2 linked regions of the Rattus norvegicus genome follow. The protein of the gene in region 1 purifies or fractionates together with the protein of each later gene. This does not show direct contact. Links are inferred from orthologs where the notes say so. Each region holds a gene or a part of one and is shown on either strand. Other genes may lie near its edges.

Evidence for each region. Proteins that work in one complex are often made in the same cells at the same time.
Region 2: the proteins of Tnfaip3 (region 1) and Tnfrsf1a purify together in Homo sapiens (affinity purification with western blotting; 7 studies listed by BioGRID, with this or other methods). This does not show direct contact. The link is inferred for Rattus norvegicus from reciprocal best matches to the Homo sapiens genes TNFAIP3 and TNFRSF1A.

Annotation. Positions count from the first base shown.
Region 1 is NC_086019.1:15,540,543-15,546,490, forward strand, and holds the start of Tnfaip3 (TNF alpha induced protein 3), read right to left. Parts: upstream 3,438-5,948; 5' UTR 3,225-3,437; intron 2,670-3,224; exon of another isoform or gene 2,466-2,669; intron 2,242-2,465; exon of another isoform or gene 2,100-2,241; intron 2,089-2,099; exon of another isoform or gene 1-2,088. UniProt on the Homo sapiens protein: Ubiquitin-editing enzyme that contains both ubiquitin ligase and deubiquitinase activities.
Region 2 is NC_086022.1:159,834,944-159,840,740, reverse strand, and holds the start of Tnfrsf1a (tumor necrosis factor receptor superfamily member 1A precursor), read right to left. Parts: upstream 3,623-5,797; 5' UTR 3,387-3,622; coding exon 3,348-3,386; intron 1-3,347.

The DNA.
Region 1 (5,948 bases):
CGACTCCCAGGATACTAGCTGGCCCTGAAGATTAACTCACACTGGACTGTTTTAAGTTACATCACTTTTAAAGATTAGTCTAAACAAGAGAAGGAAGGCGGAGCGTGGGTACTGAGGAGGAGGGGAATAACCCATGCTTTCAGTAATGCTTGTCAGTGATCCAAGTCTGTCTCTCAGCGACAGGTACTGCTTCACACAGCCAACCTCACATCCCTCTGATGTCACTCATCAGAGTCCCAAGTCTAGGCTCACTGAAGACCCCCACCATTCAATCCTCCCTCTTGACTCACGTCTAGATTCAGGTCATTCGAACATCCCCTTTCTCGATGCTGCAAAGGCAGCAAGTAGTTTTGGAAATCCCGTGTGGCATCTAGCTGCTTGCTTGGTATTTCCTCTTTCTTATTGACCCCAAAGACATGTATAAATGCTCGGTTTATGATATTTATAAAGAGCCGATATTTATAAAGAGCCGACGCCAAATTGTTTTATAACCAACAACGGAAAAAAAAAAACAAAACAAAAACAGAAACAAAAACGAAGCTGATTTCTGGCCAGATCCTTCACAATCTTAAAAGCAAATAAACGTCAGCTGGATTTCAGAACCTTGCCACTGAACCTCACAGCGTGAGACAAATGAACAGAGGGATACTAAGGTATATCACACCTCCCAGAGAGGTGGGGGGGGGGGAACAGACACCAGCGCGCTCTATGACTTTAACTCAACTAGACCAACTTTTATTTATGGCTGCCCTTCCAGATCCCAATGCTCAGAGACCTCAACACCCTCCTTCCTTTACCATAAAAGATCGAGCGCAATCAAAGGTGGAGGAAATGAAATCAGGAAACGAACAGGAAGTATTGGAGTGGGGTACCACTCAGGACGAAGACTGGCCATATGACCACCCACGCCAACTATGCACGAATGTGGACTGATGATGCAGAGAGACCAATGTGGATCAATGGCCATCCAGGTCTGCTTCACTGTCCTCACAGACCCTCCTTGGGCACTTGACCACACATCCTAATTTCCTAGAAGACAGAAATGATATAGAGCACCTAGGAAATTTCTCAGCGAAGCTTAATGCCACTCCGGCACCATACTATCCTCCAATGCAAACTCACCAGGTTAAAATAAAAACGGTGTTAAGACTATGCAAGAGGGAAAAGAAATCGTAAGTTCTTGTTCCCTGCTTGGAAGGGAGGGGCTGCTCCTGGGAATTTGCATTGGGATGCTGAGGCCTGGAAGTTATTCTCTGTGCCTGATGACAGTTGCGCCTCGCAAGTAGAATTAGGCAGAAACATAGACAGAATGGGACAAAACTACCACACATACATCTCCTTGGTGATATAGCATGGTCTCTCTCACAATGTCATCACCCCATCCATGAATGGATGCATGCAAGCAGCAAGGCTGGACCACCTATTTAAGGCCAACCCTTGTGCCTGATGCGATAGCTAAAAATGTATGATTTCACTCCTAGCCTTGATATCTGTCAGACAACCCCTGCAGCTAAGGCAGTGATGGTCAGACCCATCTCAGGTCCAGCAGACGTAAGGATGCAGCTCTGCTCATAAGCCAAGTCTTCCTATTCCCCATCTCAATCCCTTGCTGGTCTCCTGATAGCAACCCTGGCGTACAGCATTTGCAGCTCTCAGAAACAGGCAAGGAGAAGTTTTGCATCAGTGAGCTGCACCTTGTTCTATTTTTATGGCTATTCTATTTTGCTCTTCTGGACCTCAAGAACTTTTAGCATAGATCTAAAAGTGGCGGGGGCTCTAAGCCATATGTAAGACATGCAAAGGTCAGTATCTGTCAGCCCACTAAGACCCCGTTCACGGACTCTGCCTTGCACTGCGTGCAAAAGTGCCTATTTAAGACAGAGCTTAAACCTCCCTCTGCCCAAGTTTCCAGTTCTTGGACTTCCCCACATTTAGAGAATAAAGTTTCCTGACATATCATTGTAATGTTTTATGGGTAAAAAAAAAAAATTAAAGCACTACCCTTAACTTTTAAAAATATATTTGTTACCTCACTCCCTTACAGATAAATTTCCCAATTTTTGTCACAGGATCAATAAGGTTCTTCAGAACTTACTCACCAAAGTCTTTCCCCCACTTTTATTTTTCCACTCTGAACAGATTTTTTTTTTTTGCCCGCGATGTGGAAACTTCTGTATTATTTATAAACAGATACCTCGGGCAATTGTTGGGAAGTACCCCTCCAAAAATCTATACAACGAGCTGCAAAAGATCCAAGTAGCATATCAGACCACAAGAATGAGCCCTGATCAACCGATAATAATCTGCTCAATAATCTAGGACATCAGCGTATGGAAGGCTAATGAACAATAATCAGTTCCAAACGGTGCCCCCCCCCCTCCACTTGACCAGACCAGCTTTCCAAAGAAAGATGAGAGAACAGGAGAACTAAAAACAAAGCATGCTCCAGAAAGAGCTCTTAATACCTCAGCTTTCCTGAGAGGCCAGGTGGCAGGATGTGGGACGAAGGACCCGGACTGACAAGTCACAGTCTGAGTGTGGAGTCAAGGCTGCAGTAGGGAGTTTTACATGCCACCAAACGTGGACTCCCCAGCAAGCAGGCCAGAGAATCATTTCTGCATGCATACTCTTATACCGGAGCAACTAGGGCCTTAGTGGCAATCTCAAAGCACGCCCCTCCCCTCCACCTCCCTCCCCGCAACCCTCCTCCCACATTGATCACTAAAAAGTTGGCTGGCTGAAGCCTCCAAGTTGGATTTGGTGGCCTCTGAGAAAACCATCCCCTGTTGGGCCAGTAATGCACAATATGGGAAGAAACCCCAGCGCGACTCTGCAAGGTCTACGTGCCTATGAACATGCTGCACTTGATTTCCAAAGGGGGGGCTGGAAGAGTGGGTACACCCACGACCACACGACCTAGGGACCCGAAGGGTGACTATTCATCAGCCAGCTGCAGCTCACGTCACCCTGCAGGATCGGAAAGGAATAGCTAGCTAACCAGACGGCTGGAGAAACTTAGGGCTGTCAACCTAAACACTTGGCACCCGGACCTCAACTCTGGCCAACAATACCCTCACCCCAGAACTCCTGCAAAGCCATAGCAAGACAGCTCCATACTGAGCTGGCCGTGCACCCTGAATCTGGCTGGCACTGCACCCCTCTGGCCGTGCACCCACCCCCCCTGTATCCTGCTAGCCGTGCACCCCAGCCGGAGTACTGCTCACCTCCTGGGGCCGCACGGAGCCCTCGCAGAGCCCAAGTGGCCGATCAGCCGTCACTGGCGCGAGCCGTAGCCGGGGGTCGTGGTTCGGGTCGTGGTGGGGGTCGGGCCGAGGCGGAGCCCCATGGACGCCCGGTCGGGCTCTCTGGTTGGGGGTGTGCACGTCTCTCGGCGGCCTAGCTCACCGCTCCGCCTCCGGCTCCGAAGGCTGCAGACTGGGCAGTTCCCTTTTTTTGCCTTTCAGTTGTATGCTTCGCCACAGGGGGATTTCCGAGGGACTTTCCAGTCACGTGACTCCCGCATGGCGAGCGGCCGGCCAGCAGAGGGCGCTCGAGGCCGTCCCCGCCCCGCCCGGAGAAACTCCTAGGTCCCGCCCCGGGGTGTCCCCGCGTGAGTCACCTGGGCATTTCGGAAGCTGCCTTCCACGTCACATCCATGTGGAAATAGTGGTGATGGGAACTGGAAATGCAATAGGTTCTTTTTTATAGCCTCTTTTCTGAAGAAAATCAGCTGTGAAAAGGAAGGGAAATTAGAAAGAAAACCCTAAAAACCACCCAGACACACAGGACCTCAGGCATGAAGCCGGCTTTGAAGTCTGGGCTGTGCACGTGATGGACTTAAGAAAGAACCGTTCTCAGGGTCCTGAGGGGATTGAGAGAAAAGGCCACAGGGTTCTCCAGACCCTGTGTCAGCTTCAGGCTGGATGCAATGCAGAGTGAGATGAGACACCATGATCCTGCAGTTTTTGAGTTACAGGGGCAAGGTCAAATTCAGAGAAAATTAAATTCACCTCCATCACCCCTACAACCCTCCATTTGCTCCGTTTCTCCTTTATTTCCGTGCTCCAAGGAGCATTAAGGTTTAGAAAGTGCTTCAAGTTTATTACTGTCTCCCCCCATCCTCTACAGTTGTTTTCTTAGGTGTTGTTTGGTTTGCCTGAGAATTAGTTCACCCCAAGAAGCCACTGGTGGAGAACCTTCCATATTGTCCTGATCCCCGACTACAGCTTGCCTTTCTCTAGAAGGGAGAAAGCTTCGGACACAGGGGCTTGAGCTCTGCAGAGAGAGAGAGAGAGAGAGAGAGAGAGAGAGAGAGAGAGAGAGAGAGAGAGAGAGAGATGCTAAAATGCTTTTACCTTCTTGGAGTTTTTCCTCTAGTGTCCCCTTGGCCGAAATCCTAGAAAACAGTAACGCAAACCAGGCAGATAGTCCGTGCCACTGTGACTTTAGGTATGTTCGTCAAGTTGCCAAGTTGCCAGGAAGTATACTGCACGTTTGAACTAGAAACATGTGTTCCTGTCCCCAGGAGTGACTGGGCTAGGTGACAGAGCACAATGGCATTTTTTAAATTATTATTTGTAAAGGGGGGCTTGAAGCAAGAGTACTGGCCACTACTCCAAGATTGGTCTATCCGCTAACTCCCCCCACCCCCTCCACATATCCCTCCACCTCCCCCCGACACACACACACATCCCTCCCTACACCGTTTCTATTTCAAATCTGGTAATATTTGTCTTCTTACAGATGTTTTCAGCTTCGGACACTCAAACAATGGTAGTAATTTAAGACGACATTCCTGAAGTATTTGTTACAGGTTCACATAAACTTTTATGTGAAATTTAGAAAACTTAAGCCACATGCGCCCACAGTCTACACAGTTTTTAGAACTGTGTCTGTCTTGTTCCAAAGCCCACCAGAGAGGGTTAACCACGTGACTATCTCAAGCCTAGGAATCTCTTTGACAAACACAGTAGCCTAGCCACAATAGATGCAGGCTCCACCCTCAGGAAACCACCAGGGCACACAGAGGTGATAAAAGATGCAGACTAGAAAAGCACACCACCTGGCAGAGGGTGTTAATCCTCAGACCGCTCTTCTAGGCCGGCTTCTGCAGACAGAACCAATCGGCTCTCTGTCATCTCAGACGGTTCCTCAGCAAATCCAGCAGCCTCCATGTGCCCATCCTGCTTCCTGTTTGGCTTCTAGGGTTGCTGAACTGGGGATTCAGTAAAGAAGAATAGCAAACCTGGAAGGCCAAGCCCAAACCTGTCATTCTCACTATCCCCACAGAACTACTGCGCCATCTTGCCTGCCAAGATTTGAGATTGGGCAGATGAAGAAGGTGAGCGGTAGGTGGTAGGTTTCTCCGTTTCCCACAGCTGAATGGTGCAACTCATCGATGCCTGCCAACCTTCCCCACTCTCCCCAAGTCTCCCCAACCTACCCTAGCCTCACCCAGCCTCCTCCAGGTCTTCCTAGCCCAGAGAAAAGTGTCTATGCAGTGAATGAGAAGGAAAAGACAGAAGGGGAGCGCATAGGAGTGCCTCTGACAGAAAATAAGGACACCTCAAGTCTGGGGAGGTTTGATGAGTGCATTGAAACTAATAAGAACCTTTCTTGATCAGAATAAAGGTTTGGAAGAGATTCCAGTTTCTGCCATAGATCTTCTCTAGATGTGCCGGGATCTGCAACAAGGGAGGAATATGTGTGGAAAAAATAGTGGAGTCATGGTAGAGAAAAAAAGTCTCTTTATAAGAGGAGAGAGGCATTCTAGGTGTGCAGAATGTTTTTTTGAGAATTTCTGAGTTTTGTATCATTGTTACCATGCCAGAATTTGTGTTATAACTGACTGTTGGTCTCTAGGAGCTAAACCATGGGATGATGCCTATTACCTGTATGAACCACACCATGATAGATAAGGATCTATCTTAGTGGGGGTCCGCACTCGC
Region 2 (5,797 bases), on another chromosome or scaffold:
GGAAGCAGCACCCCCGCAGCCCCCCTCACCTCAGAGACACACTTGTCTCTGGGAGGTATTTTAGAAGCTGTGCATTCCCTTCTACACACAGGCACACTCTCGCACATGTCCATGTTGACAATTCTGCCATTGCTCATCTCTTGCCGAGTCCGGCTGGCGAGCCAGTGCAGCTGGCATTAGTTAGAAGAAAGGCTGAGAGAGCTCTTGCTCCAGTCAGCACAACCACACTTCCACTTAGCCAGTCAGCGACCTACTTCACCTGCCTCCAGCTGAGCTCACCAGGCTCCTCACCTAGATGTCACATCACCAACTTCTTGGTACCAAGGCTGCAAACTCTGCAGCAGCCCTAAGAGTCACCTGCCAGTCCTTTTGGAATCTCTCCACCCTTTACCCCACACCCCAGCACTGATTTTTTTGCAACTGCCTTCCTCCTACCTACACCACTCCACAGTGGTGTCTCAGGGCCTCACTATGTGGCTGAGGCTGACATCAACCTTCTGGTTCAAGGGATGTGCCTGTCTCAAACCTTGGCAGGGGCTGAGGCTACCCACATAGTTTCTTATCTACATTCAGGCTTCAACTTGTACCACTGGGTTATGAATCTTCCTTTGCACCTCCAGGGTCTGGCTTCAAGAATCATTTCCATGGATAAATCCTTCTGTGAGCACATACATACTTCTGAGAAACTCACTGTTATTGGAACACAGTCTGGCCAGGCTGCTTGGAGAATAGCAAAGGAAAGAGGGAAGGAGAGAGGGAGGGAGGAAGGGAGGAGGAGGGGGAGGAAGGAAGGAGGAAAGAAGAAAGAGAGGAAGGGAGGAAGAAAGGGACAGAGGCAGGGAGGCAGGGAGGAGGAGAGGGAGGGAGGAAGGAAGAAAGAAGAAAAAGAGGGAAGGAAGGAGGGAAGAAGAGGGAGGGAGGGAAGGAGTAAGGGAGGAGGAGAGGGAGGGAGGAAGGAAGGAGGAAAGAAGAGAGGGAGGGAGGGGGGAGAGGAAGAGAGGGAGGAAAACGGGCCCTCACCTAGGTCCTTAAGCACGACTCTATTTCTTTTTGGTATGTTTTAGGACATGGTCTCTAATCCAGACTGGTCTCAAGCTCCCTGTCTAGCCAAACCCAGTCATGACCTGAGCTCCTGTCTCCATCTAACAAGTGCTAGGATAACAGGCATGTACCACCATGACTGGCCCAAGGTTCTTTTTCACACACTCCAGAGTGCCAGTTGTCACATTCCTCAACATGGCCACTCCACCCCAGCTGAGGCATTCACCTCCTGTAACCACCTCCAACACAGAGTCCCACCTCTCCGTTCCCCTAATCCAGGCTCTCAATTCCTCTGTCTTCCCTCCTTCTGGCTTCTGCACGCCAGTCCCAAGCCCTCTTTTCTATACAACATTCCCCTGTTCCTATCTGACCGATTTCTTATTCCTTAGTTGATTAAGCCATTAGTCAATGGTCAAGGTCTCCTTTCTAGGGCCCAGATAGGTGCTGGGGATGGGACAAGGCTCACACTTTCAAGAGCTCTCTGTGAGCCAAAGATAATACACTATGAGCCTTCGGGTCTCTGCAGGCAAGCTCAGCCCAGCAGACAAGCAAAAGCCATTAAGCAAGAAGATAGTGTTGGCCTATAGCCCAACCTCCTCCCCCAGCTCTGCCTCCAGGAAAGCACATCACATCACGCCAGAGTCATTTTCACTCCTGTAGTCAAACTCTTTAAAAAGTGGCAAAGTCTTCTTGGCCTTGCCACATCCCTGCCACGTCCATTGCTGCCTCATGACCTCAGCACTTCATCATCACCTGCACACCTCACAGCCCTATGCTCTGCACTGACGAGGCGGGGGACAGCCTTCCGTGTCCCTGGTCTTCAGGTTCTGCTTTCTGTTCACAGTATCCCCGTCACCACCTGGGCCTCCTCCACTGAGTCAGGATGTCTCCTCTACCCAGCCTGTCAGAGGAGGACGGCCATTGAGTAGTGACACTAACACTGCTAGAGATGAGGAAAGAGAAGCCAAGCATTCGCTGAGCCCTTTCTGTTTGTGGCATACATTCCCCTTTGGGTCCACCAACTTGAACTTGATTCATTCGCCACTGATCCTAGCACCCGAAGTTGGGCCTAGGAGATTAATAAACTAATAAATATTCAACACACATTCATCTACTCAATCTTGACAACGACGGGGTACTGATCACTGTAGACATTTTGGAAATGGAGAAACAAAAGCGTAGGGGAGTCACATCACATGTCCGTAAGGGTGCTGGGCTGAGCCCTAAATCCAGATGATCTACCCCTCAAGAGAAAAGAAATGAGTGGATGGGGAGCTGGAGGATAGCCAGAAGGGGCAGTCTTGACAAGTTGTGAGGTGAGGCTGGAAGGCAGGAGAGGGAGAAGGGAGGTAAGACCAGGCAGACTGGATCGGTACAGGGTTCTGGGAACACCGCTTTAGATTGGGACCCTAGAGAAAAGGAAGGGAATGGGCACAAAGGAGATTGACCAGAAGAGAGAAAGGGCATAGAGAAAAAGGCAGGTCTCAGGGGCAGCGCTGGGCCAGGGAGAGGCAGGACCAGAGACACCGTGCAGGTGGTACAGCCCACCCAGACAGCCAGGGAGCCCCGGAGGATCCCCACAGAATGATTATGGACACACAGAAATCAAGGGAACACGAACACGGGGCCAAGGCCAGAGAAAAGTACATTTTCCAGTGACGAGAACAAGCTGCCACCAACTTCCCCAATCGGAACTGTGGAATTGGAAACTGTGAGATTGACTTTTGGGTCTGTGGGGAGGGAGCTAAAGGATACGTCGCCCAGGTAAAGAGTTATTAGCTACTTAAGAAGGGTCAGGCCAGTGGAGACCTCGTATCTGGAAGCAGAAATGGAGGCAGAAGGGCAAAAGGTGTCTCAGGGTGAAGTCTGGGACCGGGAGGCTGCCCAGCTCTGTCCAGTTTCTGGTCCACTCCCAACAAGCACGCTATCCCAAACTTGTCCCGCCAACGGATTTCTTTCTGCTCAGTCTTCCAACATCCGGCCCCATGCTGTTCAACCTCTGCCAGAGAAAGAGGGCTGCCCCCTCTAAGTCCACTGGCCGGGCAGCTGGCATGGCCACAGCCCAACACAGGCCAGGACCTCCGCTGTCAGGCCCAAGGCTTGCCTGCTTGGCTTGCCGAATTCTCTCCCTCTCAGATCTCTCCCTTCTACATCTCAGGGCAGCCCCAGGTGAGGCCCAGCAAACTCGGGGGCAAACTGAAGCACACAAGCCCCTGCCCCCATCCCTTCCCCAAGTACAAGCCTACTTCTGCCAGGCCGCGCCTCGATAGCAGCCCACCCTTCTTCCCTCCCGTCTCCCATCTCACCAGTGACAGCAGCAGGCCAGGCACGATGGGGAGACCCATGTCCGGCCGGCAGTGGCCTCTCTCACTCCCCCATTGGGGCTGGGGACAGGGCAGCAATTGGCAACGCTGGTGAATGAAGTAAGACGATCGGACCAGGTGGCCCGGGTGTTGGCAGCGTGAGCCCCGGGTTAGAAAGGCTCAAAGTCAGAGGTAGATGGAGATCAGGGTACGGTCCTCCAGGATCTCGTATCCAGTAAGCCCGATCATGAGCCAGAGTTCAGAAAACTCGGAGAAAATTAAAGCCGAGGGGAGAGAGGAGGTAGGAGGGGAAGGGAGAGTGGCGGGGGTGGTGTTGCAAGAGCGGGACCGGAAGAGCCTGGGGAGCGGCGAGGGAGGAGGGAGGAGGGAACTAGAGGAGAGAGGAGAGGGCCAAGGTTCTTTAACGCTTTGTAGCCCGGGACCCAACAGCTTGGCGCCCCAAACCTACTTAACACCACTTAAGAGTTCGAGAATCCACAGAATTCCAGTTCGGACTCCTCTGTTTTTTAAGTGGGTGAACTTAGACTGGTGGACTAACCCCTCCAAGCCTGTTGTCAAATTCACCGAATGAAGACAAACTACCGATCTCATGGGTATGGAGGGAGGGCAGTATCTGATGCACTCTGTTCCTTAGCGCTCTCTGTCCCTCTAGAGTTCCCTCTAATCTCACTGTCTTGGAAGTTTACCCAGGCAACCCAAACCGGGAGGGAAACCAAATGTACTTTTGTACCCTGCCTGGGCTCTGATCCTCGGTCCCTCCCACTGACTCTCATCTTGTCTCTTCCAGACAGATACCCCAGCTACCCACCACGGCTTGCCCACCAACGGTGGGAGTGGGGTGCAGGTGTCAGACAACCCCCCTTCTAAGCCTTGGTTGTCTCCTCAGCTATTAGTTTGGAGTAAAAATGCCTTCTCTGACATAGGGAAAGAGAAGCCTTGAGGATTCGGGAAGCCATATCTGTAAATGCTTCAGGTTTCAAAGGGTTCGTTCCCAGGGCCCCTTTCCCAAACATACAGTTTTGTCTTGTTTGAAATTGGGGTTCATTTAGGCCAAGCCGGCTGGTCTCAAACTCACTCTCTAGAGGAGGCTGGTCTTGTACTTCTGATCCTCTCACCTCCTACATGCTGAGATTACAGGTGTGCACCACCACGCAAGCTCTAGATATTCTGATGCATCCATTCGGACTGACCCCAAAGATTATACCACATTCAGGGGTGAGAAAGAAGTCACAGAACTATGCATGCTGGGAGGCAGAGCTCTGGAGAATCAGGATTCCTGGCTCCTGTTGGAAGGCCCCACTGTTCTCTCTGCCCTTCTGAGTAAGACCTTACCTTCTGATAGCCATCCTTTACAAGGGATGGATACCTCCTGCCACCCCCATTCGGGTGGGTCTTCTCCCAAGGGAACCCTATAACACCGGGACACCACTCACTCAAGTGCCCTTGAGAGTCAGTGACCTTTATGCGAGCCAGTTCATCCAGCCCAAGGTCCTTTAGCAGCTGAGACTTTGAGACAGGGAGGGAAAACCAAGAAATAGGGGGTCGAGGGTTTGAGGACTTGGAAACAGAGCTCCTGGCCCTTCCCTGTGAGCTACTGCTGACCTCCAACCTCCAGGACCCCAACCCTGATGTTTCCTCTCCTCTGTTACCCCAAAGGTGAAGCTTCTGAAGACCAGCTGGAGGTGGTGCTGGGGGCCCACTTCTCTCCATCAGACTGCATCAATGGGAGCAGGCCTGGAGAAATAAATGGTGGGGAGTGGAGGTGGGGCTTGGGATGTAGTTCAGTTGTAGACTGCTTCCCCAGCATAAAGGAGGCTCTCATCCCCAGCACACACACACACACAGACATACACAGAAACACACATACATACACATAAATACACATACACACAGACATACACACACAGACACACACAGACACACACAGACACACACATATACACACATACAGACACATACACAATATACACACAGACACACACACACATACACACACAGACACACACATACACACATACACACATACAGACATATACACGATATACACACAGACACACAGACACACACATACATACACACACAGACACAGACACACGCATACACACATATACACACACATACAGACACACACATACATACACACACAGACACAGACAACACAGACACACACACATAAGCACACACACACAGACATATACATACATACACAGAGACAAACACATACACACACACCACACACACACTAAAATAGACAAGAAACACACAGCTCCCAGAGCTGGTTCAGTGGTTAGATTCAAGTGTTTGCCACATGTTAAGTATCCACAATATCAACAATTTGTAAATAACAAATAACGACTTCGAGGTCCCATGTTTAATATCACGAGGAACTTTTAATGGCCTATGAAAACTGCCAAAGCCATTATTACTCAGAG